2 linked regions of the Anolis sagrei genome follow. The protein of the gene in region 2 purifies or fractionates together with the protein of the main gene of each other region. This does not show direct contact. Links are inferred from orthologs where the notes say so. Each region holds a gene or a part of one and is shown on either strand. Other genes may lie near its edges.

Region 1 (10,772 bases), on a different chromosome or scaffold from region 2:
TTTTCAAAAGCAGAGGTGACTGCAGCTTTCTTGTGTGCCTTTACCATGTACCAGCTATCATGTGCCCCCAGTGAAAACTCAGACACACACATTTTGAATATATGACACAAATCTATCCCCAGATGTAACTTCTGTGTACATTCTTAAACCCATTACAGAGAATCATAAGGCATAGCCAGACATTTTTTGCAAATAGTGTACAAAATGATCGAGATGGAGATTAGATCTTTGCCACACTAAGGCCACAATTCTCCATGGGGACAATGGAGCATAATCTAAGGGGTTAGGCAACAATTATGCAATATTACCTCATTAGTGAATTTTAGTATTATGCAACCAAATGTGCATGCACATCTCCAGGTGCAAAGTGCACCATATGTGATGCTAATCATGCAAAATGTGCATGCACATCCATCTTCCATATTTGAGAAGAATGTCTATTTGTAGGTGTACATAAACATGCACAAAACAGTACTCCAGCTATTGTTTTGATAAACCAAGCCCACAAAATAGTTTGTAATGAGTTGTTTAGAGAGCTTACATATGTCCCCTGTTCTGTATGCCTGCAAGAACAGGGAGGTTTGTCAGGCACCTAGCAGTCCCAAATACATATTTGGTGAGCTGTGTTGACCTTAGGTCACAACTTCTGGAGGAATGTTTTATATAAATGCACTCCACAATTTCATCGTGTATATCCATTACTTTTAGCTCAGTTTGATTCTGGATAGATGAAGGGCAGGAGACCATTAGCCATTAAAATATTTGCCTAACTGACACCATGTGTGGTTCTTTTTGGGGGATTTACATTTCTCAAGAATAGACACTGTAATAACAAGGCAGACACAAGTGTTCTCAAGGGACTTGGTAAAAATGGTATTCCTCCTTCTATCCAAATATGGACTGCAATATTTGAAAATGTTTATCTTGCTCCAAGCAAGCTATACTGAATTAAGTACTAGCAGATTAAACACATTTGTTAAACACGGCTTGACACTTCACAGACTTGTCTCATAACTAGTTAACAGAAATGGTTGCATATCTCCATTTTTTGAACTGGCAGCCTTGCAAAAAAAAATGCGGATACTCTTCCCTTCTTGCAATGTTTTAAAATGGAATTATTCCATGAAATTTTCCACCCTCTTTTATTCAGATACATTTGGCAAGGAAAGGCCAAAATAAGAAGCCATACTATTTCTGCTTCATCTTGTGAACACTATATTTTGTAACAGAAACATAATATTTTGAACATGTGATCCTCTTTATGCTGACCACCTTGCTGGAGCCAGCACTTCAAAAATATATTGCTTCTGGATTCACACCCTATTTTTTTTCTTTCATCTTTCTGTCCACTCCCATGGCACTCCTTGACAGAGGACATTTCATTCCCTGCATGGGATCATTACCCCTGGATTTGTTCAAGAATTTAGATCAACATATGCTCAAAACACAAAGCAGTGATGGACTTGGAATCCTTAGCTTGTGTTTTCCAAAAACACAACTTAAACATAAAGTCAATTCACTCATAAAACCATAATGTGTTGGATATTCACAGTGAAGCAGTGTGCTGCCTGTGGAGCCCCGACCATTAAAGGCACTTTATAACAGATCATGTTGTACCCAGCTGAAATATTTTTGTCCCTTTTTAAATGTATATATTCTTTCATTTTATCATTCGGCTGTTTTAATCTGCTTTATAATTCATCTTTTTTAATTATATTAATGTATGCTATGGTTTTAGGTTGTATTTTTGAAGTACCCCAAAAGCTTTAGTTTTGAGGTGAAAGCAGTTTATCCAATTTGGGGCAGAAATGCTGTTAAGTAAATAAGAAGACAAACCTGTTGAATTTATAAAACATTCTAAAATGTCTAAGATTTCAGTGATGTCACTTTTGTTTTGGAAAAATAAAATTGTTTTACAAGAAATTTCCAATGAGGGCTAGACCATCAGGAACTGTGTTAGGTTAACAAAACAGGCAGAGAATCTTGTGGCCCTTTTAAAGAATGTCAGACCTTATTTTTCATATGTTTCCATGGATTGCAACCCACAAAAACTACTGCCAAGTCAAACTTTTTTCAAGGGTGGTGGTTAGGATAGAAAAAGAAATGTTTTTTTTAAAACAATAAAGGGGTCACTGGTGTTGAAAGGAAGGGAAGTGTAGAGAACAGTATGAGATCCTGGGAAAACATGTTTCACAATAGATTATGCCAAAGATAACTTTTTCCCTCTTTAAGGTGCCACAAGACTCCTTGTTTTCTTAGATAGTTTTCTTCCAAGCAAGATCTTAGTTAATAGTGTCCCAATATACCACTAGAGGTCCCCAGTGTACTGCTAATGCTGTCCCAAAGCAGCAGATTGTAAAGGATAGAACTCATTGATAGATATAGCATTTTAATGGTTTAAATAGTCTTTAATGGTGTATTTTATATTGTATTTAATAATCTGGTTTTTATGTATTTGTTTGTCCTATATGTGAAAGACCTATGGTCTAACTACTACTATAATAACGGTTCAGCATATGATGGACCCTTGGTGTCTGATAGGGTTTAGTTCCAGGATCCCTGCGTATACCAAAATCCGTGGATGCTCAAATCCCATTATATACAGTTATGTACCTTATATAAAATGGCAGAATCAGAGTCTGCTGTTTGGATTTCTTTTTATATATATTTTTCAAGCTACTGATGGTTGAATCTTTTTATATGTTTTCAAAGTGTGGGTGGTCAAATTTGTGGATACCGAATCTATGGATACAGAGGTCTGCGTGTACTGTAATTTGAAAAAAAGTAACTCTTCTTTCCTAGCAATTCCCTAATTGTATATTCCCAGGTTATCTGACTCCCATCTGTGTTGTATAAATGACAACAAACATGATTAATTTTCATGTAAGCAGTGGCACTAGTTAGATCAGTTGGGATGAGCAAGAGATGTTCAGTCAAGAGCCTGGTGGTAATTCTTTGGGAAAACGCATCACCATGAGCACCGTGGAAGCATCAGTTATAAGGGACAGGAAATAAACAGAGGTAAAAAGCTTAATAAAATTGAAGTAACAGGGGGATATTTCAGAAGACTGTTGTAAAAAAAACAACAAAAACAGTGTGGTTGTGGAGGCAAAGTTTGATAACAGAAAGATGTGAGGACTTGTGGGGAACGGGACTGAGGGCACTCAAGTGGCACACCTAAAAAGAAGGTGAAATACAATAATAAAAGAAGCTGACGTAAATTCCTAAGAGAAAATCGTAGTGGTTTAGGGGAAAGCTGTAGTTTTCATGTGACTGTAGAAAAACACTTTGTGTCATCATGATAAAATAAGAACAGGGAGGATTTTTTGGGTTTTTTTTCCAAAGAGAAAAGCTTCAGAGTGATTTGTTTTCTACACACCTACTAAAAGTTGTTAAAATGTTGAGCTAGCTCACAGGGACTACCTAGGAAAGAATAGATCTTGGCTCAGAATAAGCATTGGCTCAGATTTTACCCATCACCATCTGAGAAAATGAGATGCTTTGGTATCTTTCCCTGATATTTTAAAAAAAACAGCTATCCATTAAAAAAAAATCAGGGTAAGAAATCAAAACATTAATTTTTTATCATTGCAGTGATTCTTTCTTGGTTCTTTTATATCTTAATAGGAATGTCTTTGTGGAAGTGGATCAGATTTTGTTAGTTTAAGTGTGGGGAAAATAAGCATATTCCACTGAAATTTTAATAACAATTAACAATTTAATAACAATTCTATAATTTTGGAATGGTTTTCAGTTATGTTTTCTATTGTAACAGCAGTAGTGTACTCCTGGCATGCTTATTGTAACCTTTCAGTACATTAATTTATGCGACTGGTCACATATCTTGCAACAGGGGGCAGAAAGGTGTTTGCATTTTATTGGGATAAGTTTCAGAAATGCTCAGTGTTTCCTTTTTCTTAGAATAGTTTTTTATTGGCCCAGTAATAATATGTATCTGTTCCAAGGCTGCAATCCTTTATACATTTTATATTTCAATAACATGTATTTGAATGTAATCAGACTTTCTTCCAAGCAAACACATATAAAGATTGTTTTGTAAATGGATTTAAATGCTTGCCTGCCTTTCTATTGTTGAGACTTATCAGTTTTTCTGCTTTCCCTATTTTTATTTATGATTATAATTAGGTTTATAATTAGGAGGCACTTTTAATGAATCACTTCGTTGGTTGAGAAAAGCATACATTATTCATACAGTTATCAATTTATATTGTATGATATGTATGCAGACAATTGTTGAAATATATAGCTTGTTTATGACATTAGTTGCAAGACAGCACAACACTGAAGTGTTTCCATCCAGGTGACTTTATTGGGATTTTTCCCACTTGCAGCTGCTGGTTACAATCCATAATCTAGGCTACTAGATCTGTGTGACAAGAAAGCCTTTGGGCTTCTGTATTTTAAATACCATCCCTCCCATATGATTATTTGCAGTAGATGTGATATTCAAAGGGAGGGGAAGAAAAAATCCATGAAACATGAGGGAATCTGGGTTTCCTTACGTTACTGTCTGGATCCCAGACAATATTTGTATAAAATATATTGTTGTGGTAAAAAATAATAATCCCCAAACAATAACAATTAATGCTACAAGTGAGTCAGTTACCAAGAAGAAATGTTGAGATAATTGATTTTAATGTTTATGTATGTGTATAGTCTAGTTATGTTTCGGCATTGAATGTTTGCCGTTTATATGTTGTGCTCCGCTCTGAGTCCCCTTTGGGGTGAGAAGGGTAGAATATAAATGCTTTAATAATAAATTAATTAATAAAAAAGGTAATGTATTACCATATTGATTTGCAACAAAAAAATGAGAGACCAGAAAGAAGATGAGCAATATTAAGTATTTCTGCTGTTGTGAATGTGATGATATCTAATAGCTCTCCTTAAAGGAAAAAAAAGTGCTAAAATACAGCTTGACTTAATTTTTATACCATGCTCCTGCCCCCCTCTTCCCAATTTCCCTCTTTTTTCAGAGACATACATGCCGTTTAGAAGTACTTGTTACGTCTGTATATGTTACAAGATAAATCTACAGAGATATAGAAGGCAACTGGTCGGAGTTTTGTATCAGGTTGTTTTTTTCTCAACAAAAGCTATAGATTTAATAGGGTAGTTTAGAAATACACAACTCCTAGTGTGTTAGTAATAAAGCAAATACTCTTACCTCAGGAACTGTTTTACTTAATTGTATGATGCTATTTCCTGGGATATGGAAAGGCGTTCTCTGTCATCGGCTTTGTGGGAACAACTGAAGTTGTTGGAGGGAAAAAATAACAAAAGTTTCATAGGCAGGGCTCATGATGTCATTCAGGAATGTTTCTCTGCTGATTGGTTATAGAAGAGCCTTTATAAGACCAGGGACGTTACAGGGCCAGCCACATTTAGAACAGTGATGTTTAATATTTGAACTATCAGTGGAAGGGGTGAAAAGCCATTTATATTCTTGTAAATTAAAGAAATATGAACAAAGACATGATGATGGATTTTACCAATAATACAGGTGGTGACAGAGTCATTTCTAGTTTTATGGTTTAAGTTCTAATTGTGATGAAAACTAGAATACCTTTTCTTATTTCTTGAGAGCCAGTGTGGTGTGGTGGCTTGGGTGTTAGGCAGGGACACCGGGGTCAAATACCTGCTATGCCATAGAAACCCTCTTGATTACCTTGGGCAAGCCACACTTTCTCAGTCGAGAAAGGCAAGGGCAAATCTTCTATGAAAGAAATTCTGCGAAGACAATCCTGTGATAGGGTTGTCATAAATCAGGAATGATTTGAAGGCACACAACAACTACAGTTGTACTTCCTCTGTTCTGTAAAACTATTTTGAACATTAAAAAAACCCAAACACATGTTTTGCTCTTACAGGTGCTAATGGTGATCATGAGATAGCTCAGTGGACAAGACAGTAGTTCACCATACCATGCAGTTGGCTCTGTACTGCTGCTGTGATTTTGAATGAAGGGGGGAAGGCAATACTCTTGAGGACTTAATCTGTGCTATGAGTTGTCTTCCCAAAGCCTTGCTACCTCCAGTTAAATGAAAAGAGAACAGCTCCTATCACCTCTGACTACTGATAGTGCATTGAATAAATAGGAGGAGCAAAGCTGGCTACACTGACCCAACTCTATATGGGGCTGCCTTTGAAGATTCAACTAGTCCAACGATCGGCAGCCAGGTTGCTCACCAAAGCGACGTACAGGGAACATACAACTGCTTTGTTACGCCAACTCCATTGGCTACCGATCAGCTTCCGAGCACAATTCAAAGTGCTAGTATTAACCTTTAAAGCCCTAAACGGTTCTGGCCCAGACTACCTGTCCGAATGTATCTCCTGCCACGAACCATCATGAAGTTTAAGATCTTCAGGAGAGGCCCTGCTCTCGATCCCACCACTATCACAAACACGGTTGATGGGGACAAGAGACAGGGCCTTCTCAGCAGTGGTCCCCCGCCTATAGAATGCCCTCCCTAGAGATATCAGATTGGCCACTTCCCTCTTGTCTTTTAGAAGGAAAATCAAGACCTGGTTATGGGACCAAGCGTTTGATCAGTGAGCAGCAAGTGGAAGAAGATCACACAACTTATGGCAATGAATTGACCCGGACTGGTTTTTGGATTTCGATTTTAATGGATGTGCCTTAATTAATTGTTTTAATTGTTGTTTTAATTTTTAATATTTTAATGTTTTTATGATGGTAGCATTGTATGATGCTTTTGTTAGGCCACCCTGAGTCCCCTTTTGAGGGGAGAAGGGTGGGGCATAAATATAGGAAATAAATAAATAAGCTGAGAAAAAAGAGGAGAAACAAAATCTAATTTTGCACTTTGGCTCGAATCCCAAGATCTTAGGTAACATCTGGCCAAGATCTTAGGTAACATCTGGCCTATAACAAGTGTCCCCCCACCCATCCTGAAGTGATTCTGCACACCTTAAATACATGCACACATTTCAAACTTAGATGCCTGCTTAGAATAGGAGTTCCTCTGTGGAGATTCTTTGCATGTACCACCACCTGGAGACTGCTACGTTGGTGACTATATGAGACAGGACTTGTTTGGTTGTAGCACTTCTCTTGCACACTTCCCTCCTATGAGAAGATAGTCTGGCTCCATCTTATTTGAACCAACAACCCAAGCCTGCCATGTTTTGTATGGCCTTTGATCCCTAAAACCAGAGTTGACTTCGGGATCTTTTTTGTTGTGTGTGTGTTTAAAACATGTCTTTACATTTCTTTTCATTTGTTATTAAATAACTTTTGATCTGTTTTGATCTGTTGTGAATCGCCTTGGAAACCTTGATGTACTGAGAAGCAAAGCAAATGTTTTAGTCCATAAGACTCAGAAACTTGGCAAATGGATTGCATCTGTTTGGCTGTGCCATATATTCTAGTATGTTGGCACAAGGCATCAGTACATCAGAAGACTTGAATTCACCATATTGTGAAAAATAATAGTACCCAAGTACCAGTCCTAGATGTACATGCCTACATGCCAGACCTCAAACCAATGATCCTTGCAGCCAGTTCTGTTTATGTCACTTAGAAGTAACTTGATCCAGGCCTTCCCTCACAGATTAATAAATGATGTTTGTGATTGATCAGTCATACACATGTGAACTTGCAAGTGTTCAACTGCAGATCTGTAACACCTTGTCTTACTTATCAGCTGTTGTACCAATAAAATTAACTTGCTAGGGCATTCTTCCACACCCACGCATTTTCAGATCCTAAATAATCTATGAAGATATACACCTACAGCTGAATTTTTTTTAGTAACCCACCTTACTTGTTTTTTTGGGGGGTTTTTTTTGTAGTTTTAGAAACACTTTGCCATCCTGCAGTTGATTGTGGTGATTAGAGAAGCCACGGGTAGGTCTCCATTCAAACATTCAAAAGATGCATTGACCTCTCAGGACTTAGATCTGGTGCCCTAGGTTTCCAAAAGATCCCTGTCTGCCTTCAGTGGTTGGGAGTAGGTTTTGGTACCAGAGACAGAAAAAAAAAACAAAGAAATAATAGGGATAGTTTCCTATACAGTACAACAAAAAAGTAGCTTGGACTTATTTCAGCTTGTTTTATATTCAGATCTAAAGATATGCACATATGAAATAAGACAACCAGATCAAGGTAAGCCTTTACACGGATTAAAAAAAAATCATTTAGAATCTTCTAAAAGCATTTGGAATCTAAAGACTGTTTCCAAAATTCAACCAGAGATTATATTTTTTATTCACCAGCCCCCACTTTTCTAATAAATTCTATTCTGGTAGTCAAATTTATAAATTCATGCATTTTGAATAGGCTTGAAGAAGCTGGTGAGGCATATCTACTCTCTCTTTTCTTCTTTTTTCTGCTTACGTATGCCCAGGAATGAATTCCAAATGCAGGTGTTGTTTTCCTTACTTATTGTAAGGAAGCATACAGTTGGATTGTGGAGCTGAATCCTGTTCCTTCATTGTTCAAGCTTTATTGCATTGTTTACTACAGATATGATTCTGGAACCCAACAGTAAAAGTTTTGTTTTTCCAGCTGTCATTCCCATTTCCAGGGCTACTAAAAAACTTTTCACTGGGCAGAGGACAAGGAAGAATAGGGGCTGGGCAGGCATAAAACAACTTTGTAAAAAGTCGTTTCTTTGTCAGGGACTTTGTTTACTGACATATGCCTGTGTTGTAAATATTTCATAACATCAGCTTGCATAACTATTCTCTTATCACCTGACATATAATGTTAATGTTTTATCCAGACCTACTTCCTGGAGTAGATTGCAAATAAATGTTCCCCATCCGTGACTACATTTGCTATTTGCAAAAGGTATGTGTGTATAGCCTACATTTTATGGAAAAGAGAGAAAACAACTTTCTGAAGATGAGTCATGAATTCAGAAAAGATGTCATACATTTAATTTCTTGGGAAAAAACAGAAAATTATTAAATGACTTTGAATGCTTGCATATATATAAACAGTATATGTGTGTAAACTTTGGGTCGGTTTCCTTTTTCTTCAAGGGACAAATATGTGCAGCTGCTGCTTACATGGCCTTAAATGGAAATGATCTGGGCTTTCTCCAGAGGGATTAGGAATCTACCACTGGAGATGCTTCTCTTTATTTATTTAGAGATCTGGTAGAAAACTGAAGATCACATGTAAGAAGGAAGTCTTTTTGTACCTTGTTATTGAAACATATTTGGCATAATTACAGCAAACATTTAGTATCACATTACTCCACTCAGAATGTTGTGATTCCACACCTAGAAGTTGCTGTTCTCTCTGTATGCCCAAGACCTCTGGTTTGCGGCACCAGTGTTCAAATTTAAGTGCTTGTTGTGGGAGCCATAAAGACAAGCTGTTTTTGTAGGCTTAAACCCTTCGCATCACATGTTGAAGAATATCAATATGGATTAGAAGCCTTATAATCAACTTAAGAATTTCTTGGTGCATCAGAATAAGCAGTTTCATGTATTTGTGTCTGTTACGGAATTGAGACCTGCCTTAAGCACAGGAGGAAAAAGCAGCCTACCTCATGAGACTGTAATAACGGTATTATTCAGGTGAAGGCATGTTTAACGTTAAGTCTGCTTCAGTTTACATAAGTGGTTGCTGTTTGACAAATTAAGCACCTGAAAAATAATAAGTATTATTATCAATATTCTGAAAAGAGGCAATTTTAAAGATGGTCTTGGGATTGGATTTTTAGCTGTGTCTGAGTTTTCTTATTTGGTTCTATCATTTCTTTTCCAGGCTGCTTTCCTGATGAGATCCTTGGTTTATTTAAAGTTGCCTTTCTTTTTTAAAAAAGCACAACAATTTATTGCTTTAGAAAAAAGGAAAATATTCACTGGGAACACAACCAGAACATTTCGTTGACTAATAACAAATAAGACCAAATTTAGAATGTTATGCTAGAGTGTGAGAATGCTATTAATTCTTTGTTCTATACCCTGGACTAGATTTGAAAGAATGTGAAAGATAATATGCAAACATAATATTTCTTCCCCCTGTAGCAAAAAAGAGAAGAAAACACTGAAAATCATCAGTACTCTGTTTTATTGTGAAGCTGGAAATTGATATTAAGCAATACTTTTCCAGAAGTTTTCTGATAAGTTTGGTTTTCAAATAAACTTTGATTGTTTGTGTAATTATTTTATGTGTATGTGATATATGTGATCTTTTTGTGCTCAATGCTTCATAATCCCCCTTTTCTGTTCATTAAATATGTGTTTTATTTACAGCAATTAATGTTTGAACATGTGTAATCATGGCAAGATTGAGATAATCATTATAGAATTCATATATAGAAAGGATATAATTAACTTGTAATCAGAATTATGAGAATAGAAAAGTGCTTTGGAAATCAGTTCAGGACTCCTTGTGCATTTGAGAGTCAGGAATCTATTAAATTTTACCTCGTTGCTGGCTAATTCTACATTTTAATAGCATTTGGATTTCTTTGTCCCTGTTTAGAAAACTTGTAGAAACAAAGTTGAACACTTGATTGTTTGCATGAACTGAACAATATGAATTCACAATCCTCTTCTACTCCCAACTGTGGTGTAAAATGTTGCTGTAGAAAACATCACATATTTGGCAAAACAGCACTAGTTGATGTGCTAAGAGGCTTGTAACTTCAGAGCTGTGTTGAGTGTTCTTCTGATAAACTGTTCCAGGAAGCAGTGAGATTAGCTGTGTTCTTTGACATGTTATGAGTGCTGGATGAACGCAGAGGCAAAGGCATATGAAGGGGAGA
Region 2 (10,415 bases):
GCATCTTCCGGACAAATAGTTCAGTCATGGCAAATCATCTTCTGGTTTAAACAGGTTAATTCTAAAATCATATTTATGTGTGCAATTCTTCAAATGATATGATGCTAAAAGCCTATGTAGCAAAAGAGACTACAACAACAGTGAATGTTCATTTCTTAGAGCACCACATGCTCATGCATTTATAATTTGAATGGTAATGGGAAGTAGAATTAGTAATCGAACTGACCAGAGATTTATGCTACTCAAAACCTTGAATTTGTATTGTTTGAAAAAGGAAACGGGTACTACAAATACAAGGCTTTGAGTAGCATAAGTCTCTGGTCAGTTTGCTTACTAATTCTACTTCCTATTACCATTCAAATTACAAATACATGAGCATGTACAAACCTTTATTTCCCATCACTCTCTACTGGTCTCCAAAATATATAAATCTCAACTCACACTTAAACAGATGCCCCATAGAACAAGCTGCTCATTCATTCAAAAAATGGTAACTCCATCACAACACAGTTCTCCTTGGTAATGAAAAAAAAATCAGAATGACTAAGCTGCCCGTTTTCACATGAAGAAACAGTGCCAACTTTTGGCTGGCTACAGTGATGCACATGTACTAGAATTGAAGCTTCATTTCTTTGAAATAGCATGCCAGCGTCATGACATCTGAAACCTTCACTGGGCAAGAATTAGCAACATACTACACCACATAACTGTACAAGTGATGACCCTTCTCTCCCGCATTTTTATCGTTCAGCATATCCCCACCAACTTAATACCTCTTCTAATGGTAAAACAAGACTGGGTTACATTGTGAGGTTACTTAGAAAGCTGCCATATATCAGCAGCACCTGGAGGAGAGCCAAGGTAGAAATTCCATATGAGCCAGGGCTGCTGAATGTGAAAAAGGACTTCTCAACCTCCATCTACCATCACAGCTTCTCAGTCTTGCTGAAATGCTGTTGGCATTTCCAGCAATCTATCATTTATTCTGTGCATGAAGCACAATGGCACATGCTTAGATGTGCTCAGGGAGTCTTCCAAATCCCAGCCCACTTTTCATTGTACAAAGCTATGGATATTATTCATCTCAATCTCCCCCTTTACACCATCCTTATCAAGTAGACAGGTAGCAAGATACCCTTGGCCAATATGAGCCTTAAGGATACAGCAGGTATTTGAACCTGGGCCTCTTACAATCAAACAATACATGTTCAGGTGCATCATGCACATCTCTGCATGACATTTCAGCTCCAACTTTATTGCTTTTTAAAAAGAAATCTGTAGTTATTTCTTTTTCAATATGTCGGAATGTGAATGCCTTAACCGCCCCCTATTCTATTTTGATCTTTCTTCATATGTATCATTCCTCCGCAATCACATGTTTGGCACCATGCAACATTAGCTCACTTCATTACTTTCTTTCTTTAAAAAATCAAGACCCCAGAACTAGTTTTACAGTCTCATCTACCAATTCAGAATGCAAGGCAAGGAGTTTATTTTACAAGAGGCTCCCCAAAGGTCAGTTACCAAATTTGGTCAACAATGGTGCCATCACTGCTGTCATCATTCTTGTCACTGTCAAGAGCAACAACTGTCACCTTGCTATTATCAGCAAGAGAAGGCAACTGGAATACTCCCCCCATGCAAATTCTATTTACAGTTTGCATTGCATCCAAAAAAAGACAGCCAGCAGTCCCTGTGAGTTTCATAACAATCAACTGCAAAAAGAATGCTAGTTCACCTTCTTATTGGGGGCAAGGTTAAAAGGCAAGAAAAAGCACTGAAGAACCTGTCTCAAATATCACAAACTCAATAAGACAGATGAAAATATTTATCCAAAACTAGCATTGCACACATCTGGTTTAACCGGTATGTAAACTCAACCCCATTCTAAGCGCACCTTTGCATTAAACCAATGTTCACTAATATTGAACTTGCTTTGAGAAACAATGCCTTGTCCTAAAATTGAGAGGTTATTTTTCCAGACAGGAAACTTGATGCTCAACCTAAGGCTAATTTTTTTTTTTGGGGGGGGGGGGGGTCATATTGCACCTTTAATTTTAACTATTTTTGAGAAACTTCTAACATAAATGTGGGAAAGTATAGATATAAGAAGATACTTACAAAAGATATGCATGCCGCCAGCAACAAAATTCTAACTAACAAATCTTCAAACTGTTCGATCACAAGCTCAAGTAAAGTTTTTCCTGCCAATATAAAATGCAAATAAAAGTTGTCAATGAAATACCAGTAAAGGGGATGGCATAAAGAGCACACATATTTCAAGAGCTTGCTTACCTTCTTCAGCTGGTAATTCTTTATGAGGCGAAGGTTTCCAGAAGGCATGGGGGGGGGGGGGGGAGGAATCAAGACAAAGATATTTAAAATAAGGGTAGCAATCATTTATCTTAGATACTGACAAACATTTACATTAAATCAAACATCACACACAACGCAAATGCTTCTTACAATGACACAGGCAGAGAAAGCCTCGTGCTTCCTATATTGTAGTATGCTTCAGCATCAAAGTAATGAGGTTACCAATTCAGCCAAGTCATCACTGCTGCTAACCATAACTTCTAATGCAGTTCAAAGGTTTCGAGCACTTCCCTGTCCCCACTTTCTCTCTAGGTCACAACCAAACATGGATTGACATGCCTCCACCTTTAATTTTTTCCCAGAAAGGAGAAGGGACAGAAGAAATTATGCCTATGTGGGATAACTCCCCATACTCCTGCCCTATAATTGGGTCCATCTTTGAAAGGGGAGGGAGAAGAATAGATAATTAGAAATATGCCTATATGAAATAATGTCCCATCCTCCTGCCCTATGATTGAGTCCCTCTTTGAAAGTGGGGGGGGGGGGGGTTGATAATTAGCAATATGCCTATATGGAATAACCTCATCCTGCTGCTCTATGATTGAGTCCCTCTTTGAAAGGGGGGGGGGGAGGGCATAAGAAATGAGTTAGCAACATGCCTATGTGGAATAACTCCCCTGTTCTGTGATTGGGTATCCCTTTGAAAGGGGGCAGAAGAAATGATAGTTCTCAATATGCCTATGTGGAATAACTCTACATCCTCCTCTGCTATGATTGAGTCCCTTTTTGAAAGGGGGGGGGGGAGATGAAATGATAGTTATCAATATGCCTATGTGGAATAATTCCCCATCCTCCTGTCCTGTGATTTAGTCCCTCTTTGAAAGGGGGGAGCAGGTGAAAAGATAGTTATCAATATGCCCATGTGGAATAATTCCCCATCCTCCTGTCCTGTGATTGAGTCCCTCTTTGAGAGGGGGGGGGGGGCAAAAGAAATGATAGTTAGCAATATGCCTATATGGAATAACTCCCCATCCTCCTGCCCTGTAATATATACCCTCTTTGAAGGGAGGGGGGGGGGAATAAATGATAGTTAGCAATATGCCTATTTGGAAAAAATCCCCATCCTCCTGCCCTATGATTGAGTCCCTTTGAAAGGGGGGTGCACAAGAAATGAGTTAGCAATATGCCTATATGGAATAATTCCTCATCCTCCTGTCCTGTGATTGAATCCCTTTGAAAGGAGGGGGGAATAATGATAATTAGCAATATGCCTATGTGGAATAATTCCCCATTCTCCTGTCCTGTGATACACTCCTTCTTTGAAAGGCGGCGGGGGGGGGGGGCAGAATAAATAATAGCAATACGCCTATATGGAATAATTCCCCATCCTTTCCCTCCTTGAAAGAGGGTTCTCCAACACATCATCAGGGATATGTTTGTTTGCTTGCCCTTTGGAAAAGACATTGAGAACGACGTCGAACAGGAAGAAGGGGCTGAGAGGAGGAGGAGGAGGAGGCCAAGAAGAATCCAAAAAAGGGGTGGCCTGAGTCTCGGGAGAGGGCCTCGGAAAAGGCCGGGAGGGAAGGCAAGCGTGGGGCTGGCAGGCGAGTGGGGCAAGTGGCCCCGAGGCGGGGAGGAAGGGAAACCCACGAGGTGGCTCGCACCGTCAGCCATCTTTCTTTTTTTTCTTTTTTCTTTTCCTCCTCCACTCCTTCCTCGTCCCTTTTCCCCCCCGGGTCCTGCTGGTGGAGCCGGGCCCAGAGGAGAAGGGGGAGGGATGGGGGGGGGGGCTTCAAGGGGATGGAGAGGATCTCCTCCCCGCCCTCCTTCCCTCGGGGCATCTCCCCCTGGAAGCCTTACCGTTGGCGCCCCAGCGCTCCTTGAGCTTCTTGACCTGCTCCAAGCTGAGCCCGGTGCTCTCGTTGACGCCGAAGTAAGCCAGCACTTCCTCCACGGTCTTGGTGTGCGCGTTCTCCATGGTGCCGGGAAGGCTCTCTCCTCTTCCCAAAGGGCGCTTCCTCCTTCCTCCTCCTCTGGCGGGCGGCGGCGAGAGGGACTGGCTCTCCTCCCTCCGCTCTCTGCCTCTTCTGGCTCTCTCCTCTCGCGGGCCCCTCGCTTTCCCGCCCCTCACGGAGCCCCCCAAGCCCTGGGCCTGGCCACCATGCGGGGGGTGCCCAAGCGGGCGAGCCGGGCGGAGAGGGAAGGGAAGAGCTCCCTCAAGGAGGAAGAGCCGCTGCCCCTGACAGGACTTGAGCTCGGCTGGAGGAGATGGAGGCCGCTGCCAGGCAGGCGCCAAGACGCGGCTGCCCTTCCTTCGAGGGAAGAGCGAGCTGAGCAACGTTGGGTGCCGCTTCCGTCCTCTCTCTCTCGCTCTCTCCCTCGCTTCCTTCCTCTCTCTCTCTCTCTCTCTCTGTCTGTCCCTCCTTCCCTCCCTCGCTGAGCCGGCCTCGTCCGCTCTAATAGAATTTATTGGAGCCACCTCGCCGCTGCCCCTCTCGCCGCCGCGGCATGTGGACGACGCTCATTGGCCGAGAGCTTGGAAGCGGCAGCGGCGGAGGGAGGTGGGGAGGAGGAAGAGGAGGAGGAGGAGGCGGCCCCTCCTCGTGACGTCACTCCCCCAGCCCGACGCGGCTGAGATTTCGCCACAAGCCGGCAGAGGAGGAGCGGAATGAAGGCCGGCTAATAGACATCCCTGAAGTCTTTTCTCTTTTTTTTCATTGCCCGCCCGCGCGTTGATTTTGCGGCAGCGCTGATGGAGCTTTCTCGTCCGCCGCTTGGGAAACGGCGCCGGCTGGAAGGAGTGGACGCGGGCGGGCGCCGAAACCAAAGGTTTTTTTTTTTTTGTTTTAATCTAAAGGAAGTGTCTCAGGCGTTAGCGGGCGGGCTTTTTCCCCCAGAATGTTTTCCCCAGAATTGGGGGAAGGGAGCTGTCCCTCGCCTCTCCTGACGTGACATTGATGGCTGTTGGCCTCTCTCTTTCAGCCCCCCCTGTGCTAGTCGAGAGGGAGTTCTTTCCAGGTCAAGGGGCTGGCCAGCCTGCCTGCCTGCCTCCCCTCCCTCCCTTCCTTTTTGTGTGGCTCGTGCTGAGGGGAGGAAGGAAGGCCGACCTCCCTCGGAGGAGCACTTCAGCCCACCACTTAGGACACCTTTGGCCACGCTTTGGCCTTCTTCTCTCGGCCGAAACTTTATTTCTTTTGATCCCACATTTCTGCCATGGGTGGGATTCAAAGCGACATACAAGACTAAAACAGTCAAAAGAAGCATAACATACGCATTCAACAAAAAACACCATCAAACCAATCGAAGAATAACACAATGCATACCATATATTTCAACCAAATTCATAAATTACAATATCTATCCATTCAAAATTGCCTAAACCTCAGACAGCTGAGTTCGCCTGTAAAAACAATTGAGTTAAGCTCGTCAAAACTCCATTTTTCTTTCGGTCGTATGAAAACATTGCCAGGTCTAAAATAGCTTCTAAATGGACATAACCACAGCTGTTTGGCCATTACCTATTTTAGGGGGTCAGGAAAGGCCTGGTCCCACAAAAAGGTTTTCATTTGGGTACAAAAAGCCAGTAAGGAGGGGGCCAATTGCTCCTCTCTAGGAAGGGAGTTCAAGAGCTGCGGGGCCACCATCGAGAAGGCCCTCTCTCAAGATCCCACCAATCACATTGTGACAGTGGTGGGACAGAGAGAAGGGCCTCTCTTGATGATGTCAGGCTTGTGTGGGTTCGTAGGAGGAGATGCGATCTCTCAAATAGACTGGGCCCGAACTGTTTAGAGCAGACATGGCAAACTTGGGCCCTTCAAGTGTTTTGGACTTCAACTCCCACAGTTCCTAAGAGCTTCAGGCCCCTTCCTTTTCCCTTTCCTTTTCCACTTAAGCGGCTGAGGAAAAGGAAAGGGCCCAAGGCTGTTAGGAATTGTGGGACTTGAAGTCCAAAACACCTAGAGGGGCCAAATTTGCCCATGCCTGGTTTAGAGCTTTATACGCTAAAACCAGCATCTTGAATTGTGCCTGAAAACAAACTGGGAACCAGTGTAGCTGCTTCAGGAGCAGAGTAGTTCTTTTCCTATATCCTGTCCCCATAAGCAGCCTGGCCGCTGACCTTTGAACCAGATAAGTTTCTGAACGCACTTCTGGGGCAGCCTCTCTCGTACAGTGTATTACAGTACTCTAACCTGGATGTGACTAAGGTGTGTACTACTATGGCCAGATTGGACTTTTCAAGGTATGGGTGCAGCTGGCACACAAGCTTTAACTGTGTGAAGGCCCTCCAAGCCACCGCTGACACCGGGCCCTCCAGGGTCAGCAATGAGTCCAGAAGGACCCCCAGACTGTGAATCTGTGCCTTCAGGGGAAGTGTGACCCCATTCAGCACAGGTTGCAGCCCAAGACCCCAATCAGCCCTATGACTGACCAGTAGTATCTCTGTCTTGTCTGGATTCAGTTTCAACTTGTTTGTCCTCATCCAGTCCATCACAGCTGACAGGCACTGGTTCAGGATCAGGACAGCAACGTTGGCATCAGGTGAAAAAGAGTAATAGAGTTGGGTGTCATCTGTGTACAGATGGCACCAAACTCCAAAACTCCTGATGATCTCTCCCAATGGTTTCATGTAGATGTTAAACAACATGGGGGCAGTATTGAACCCTGTGGGACCCCATAAGACAAAAACCATGGGGTCGAGCAGGAGTCCCCCAGCACCACCTTCTGCACCCGACCCTTTAGGAAGGAACAGAACCACTGAAAACAGTGCCTCCAATTTCCATTCCATTGAGGCAGTCCAGATACCATGGTTGATGGTATCGAACGCCGCTGAGAAGTCCACCTATCTAGTTCTCTTCGCAGATCCTCGACCAAGGCGACAAATGCCATCTGAGTCCTGTAGCCAGGCCTGAAACCAGACTTGGATGGACCTAGATAATCCATTTTTGGTTTTTTAAAACTTTGTTTTTTTCCTGAGGTGCAGGGTTGGTGTTCTTCTTATCCTGCTTTTCTCCCTGTCAGCGTGGAACACCATTTTACAGGATGAAAAAAATCAGCAAAAAACAAACTTTAAAATGGTTTTTTTTACTTTAAAAAAGTGGTACGTTTTATTGATTAGCCCATTGTCCATATCAAAACACTTGACAAACACGCTTGACACATACACATACAGCCTACAACCCACATTACAAAAGGTAAAATAAACAAGCTTTTAACAAGGGATCTAGATCCAGATCCAATATCTGCATCACCCCTACAATTTACCCCAATCGACTCCAAATATGCAGTTCTCAGCAGAGTTGCTTTATATCTAAAAAAGAGCTGTTTTGTATGCTACTTTAGCATTCTGGCTGGCCAATAAAATGTAGTTTTAATATAAGGACTCCAGTGTGTCCTTTGTATAATGAATAATAATAATAATGATAATAATAATAATAATAATAATAATAAACTTTATTTGTATTCCGTCCTATCTCCCCAGGGGGACGCAGGGCGGATTCCAACAAAGTAAAAAGGCAAAAATTTAAGGCCTTGATAAAACAATAGATACAAATACAATAAACAAACAGCAGAATCCCAGAATAAACCCACATCTAAAACCAAATGATAACAATAACACACAACCTAGAATTAAATAATAACATCACCTAACAATTAAAATTATACCTAAAATAAAAACATAAAAACAATATGTAAAAACCACCAAAATTCATGTACAATATTTAAAATTAATTTTGTGGCCAGTGATGTCTGGCCACATAATTATGATCCCGGGAATTGTGTGATCCGGGGAATTGGTTTCTGTCTTATACAAGTTGCAGCTAAAAAGTACACGTGTGATACCTTCTATGTCTGATGCTTCATGGATACAAAATTGTTCATTATATGGAACTTGGTTGAACCTTCCATGTTTGACCATTGTGTTCAGCTGTTCAAATCTAGTTGTGGTAAATACCCTCCTGAGGTGTTTAGGCATCTCTCTCTTTAGATATTGGGCTGTTTGAAAAGTATGTTTAAAACGACTTAGCCATTTCAATGAGCTGGGTTTACTGAGGGTAGCAATGTTTTTCTGAGCTTCAATATTCAGTATTGGTTGTGCAATAATTTTGGATCTCATTCCTCCAAGATTAGTGATTCCCAACCTGTGGTCCGTAGACCACCATAGGTCCCCAAGAATGAAAGGATGGTCCGCAGCCTTACCATTATTACACTGTTGCCTCGAAACCATGCAACAACGAGAGCAACTGGTCTTGCAAAACCCTCTTATTGTGCTGAGGCAACTGAGATGTCGGGAGGGGAGAGGCTGACTACCCATGAAAGATTACTACTACCACATCAGCTCTAGATTATTAAATATGGTTTTCTGTAAGTGAACAGATGGTGACTACTGGGTGGCATATGTTCTGTATCAGAGCTGATGTGGTCTATCCAATGCAATTTTCTGAATCAGCACCACAAATAACCAAACCAAATCTAAAGTTGACCGAACTTTTCACAGGAAAGGAGACAATTCAATGGAAGATAAAGCTATAATGGGAGGTAATAATAATAATAATTTTATTTCTTCCCTGCCACTCCTCGTAGCTTGAGGTGAGTTACAACTTCACTAAAAACACATAATCATATAAAGCATTATATAAAATACACATATTAAAACATATTTCTACAAATTACCTATTAAAATGCACAGAAAAAAATTAAACAAAAGTTTAAAATTTGTGATTAAAACTGGCTGGGTAGGCCTGCTGGAAGAATGGGTCTTCGGATGTGTTTTAAATTTCGACAGCTCATTGAGCTGTGGGTGCTCTTCCTTTGGCATGTCCTTCTATAATCTTCTTGGGCGGCCATTGAAAAGGGTCCTCTGGGTGGCGGTTCTGTCGGTAGCCTGGACCCAAACCATGTAGACCTTTAAAGGTCAAAACCAACCCTTTGTACTTTGCTCAGAAACTAATTGGCAACCAGTGAAGTGACTTTAAAATATGTATAATAAGCTTACTCCTAGATGTTCCCATAATCTAGGTGCTGTATTTTGAACTGGCTGGAGTTTCCAAACTTGGTACAGATGTAGCCCAACGTAAAGCACATGGCAGAAGTCCAGCCTTGAGGTGACCAGTGCATGCCCCACCATCTTTAGGTCCTCCACATCTAGGAGGCGCAGCTGGCAGATCAGCCAAAGCTAGTAGTAAGCACTCCTGATCTACTGGGGCTGACTCAGGAGCCCTTGTCTCAAGCTAGAAACACAAGTCTTTCAGGGGGCATAGGACCACATCCAGAACTGGTTGACACACCTCCATCCCCAAATTAGGACCCTTGATGGGAAGCCCCTCTGCTTGGTCTGATTCAATTTCAATGTGTTTTTCCTCATCCAGCCCATTACCTCCTCCAGGCATTCAGAGGAGACGTGTTATCCTTAGCTGAGACTGTTTAGAAAGGCATGGAGAAATATATTTGGGTGTCAACAGACTGATAATACCCCACCCCATGCCTCCGGATGATCTCTCCCGGTGGTTTAATGTAAATGTTAAAAAGCATTGAGGATAGATTGACCCCTTGTGGGATGCCACATCACAGCTCCCTTTTGGAGGAGCAGCAATCCCAGGTCCAGCTAGGTAAAGCTAGCTGGCTTCAGAGAACTGGTGTGTTGTGTGGTTTGGAGTGCTGGACTAAGATTCTGGGAGACCTGTATTAGAATCCCTGCTCTGCCATGGAGATTCCATGAGTAACCTTGGTCGAGCTACATTTTCTCAGCCTCAGAGCAAGGCAATGGCAAGTCATGCCAATGACCCCCTGTGACCTGACCGGCATAAATTGTAAAATGACTCGGAGGTATATAGCAACAAAAGCTACCATATATTGCATCCTTCGCTGAAAAGAAAATGCTTCCTAGTGCCATTTGCTGTGGAGAACATGAGTGGGAGAGTGCTCTTGTCCTTGTGCGCTGCTGTGAGATTAGAAAACAACTAGATAAGGTTACAACTGATTCAACATGGCTCTACTTAGGCTCTGAAGATTGTGTCCCAACCTAAAATAACACCATTTATATTATCATCATTATCAGTAGTAGTAACAGTTGAAGTACTGTAGGAGCAAATTGGAACTGA

The links.
Region 1: the proteins of ATP2A2 (region 2) and PLN purify together in Homo sapiens (affinity purification with western blotting; 4 studies listed by BioGRID). This does not show direct contact. The link is inferred for Anolis sagrei from reciprocal best matches to the Homo sapiens genes ATP2A2 and PLN.

The regions. Positions count from the first base shown.
Region 1 is NC_090021.1:89,031,634-89,042,405, forward strand, and holds the start of PLN (cardiac phospholamban), read right to left. Parts: upstream 5,286-10,772; 5' UTR 5,189-5,285; intron 1-5,188. UniProt on the Homo sapiens protein: Reversibly inhibits the activity of ATP2A2/SERCA2 in cardiac sarcoplasmic reticulum by decreasing the apparent affinity of the ATPase for Ca(2+).
Region 2 is NC_090034.1:42,453,348-42,463,762, forward strand, and holds the start of ATP2A2 (sarcoplasmic/endoplasmic reticulum calcium ATPase 2), read right to left. Parts: upstream 4,860-10,415; 5' UTR 4,295-4,859; coding exon 4,177-4,294; intron 2,314-4,176; coding exon 2,296-2,313; intron 2,205-2,295; coding exon 2,122-2,204; intron 1-2,121.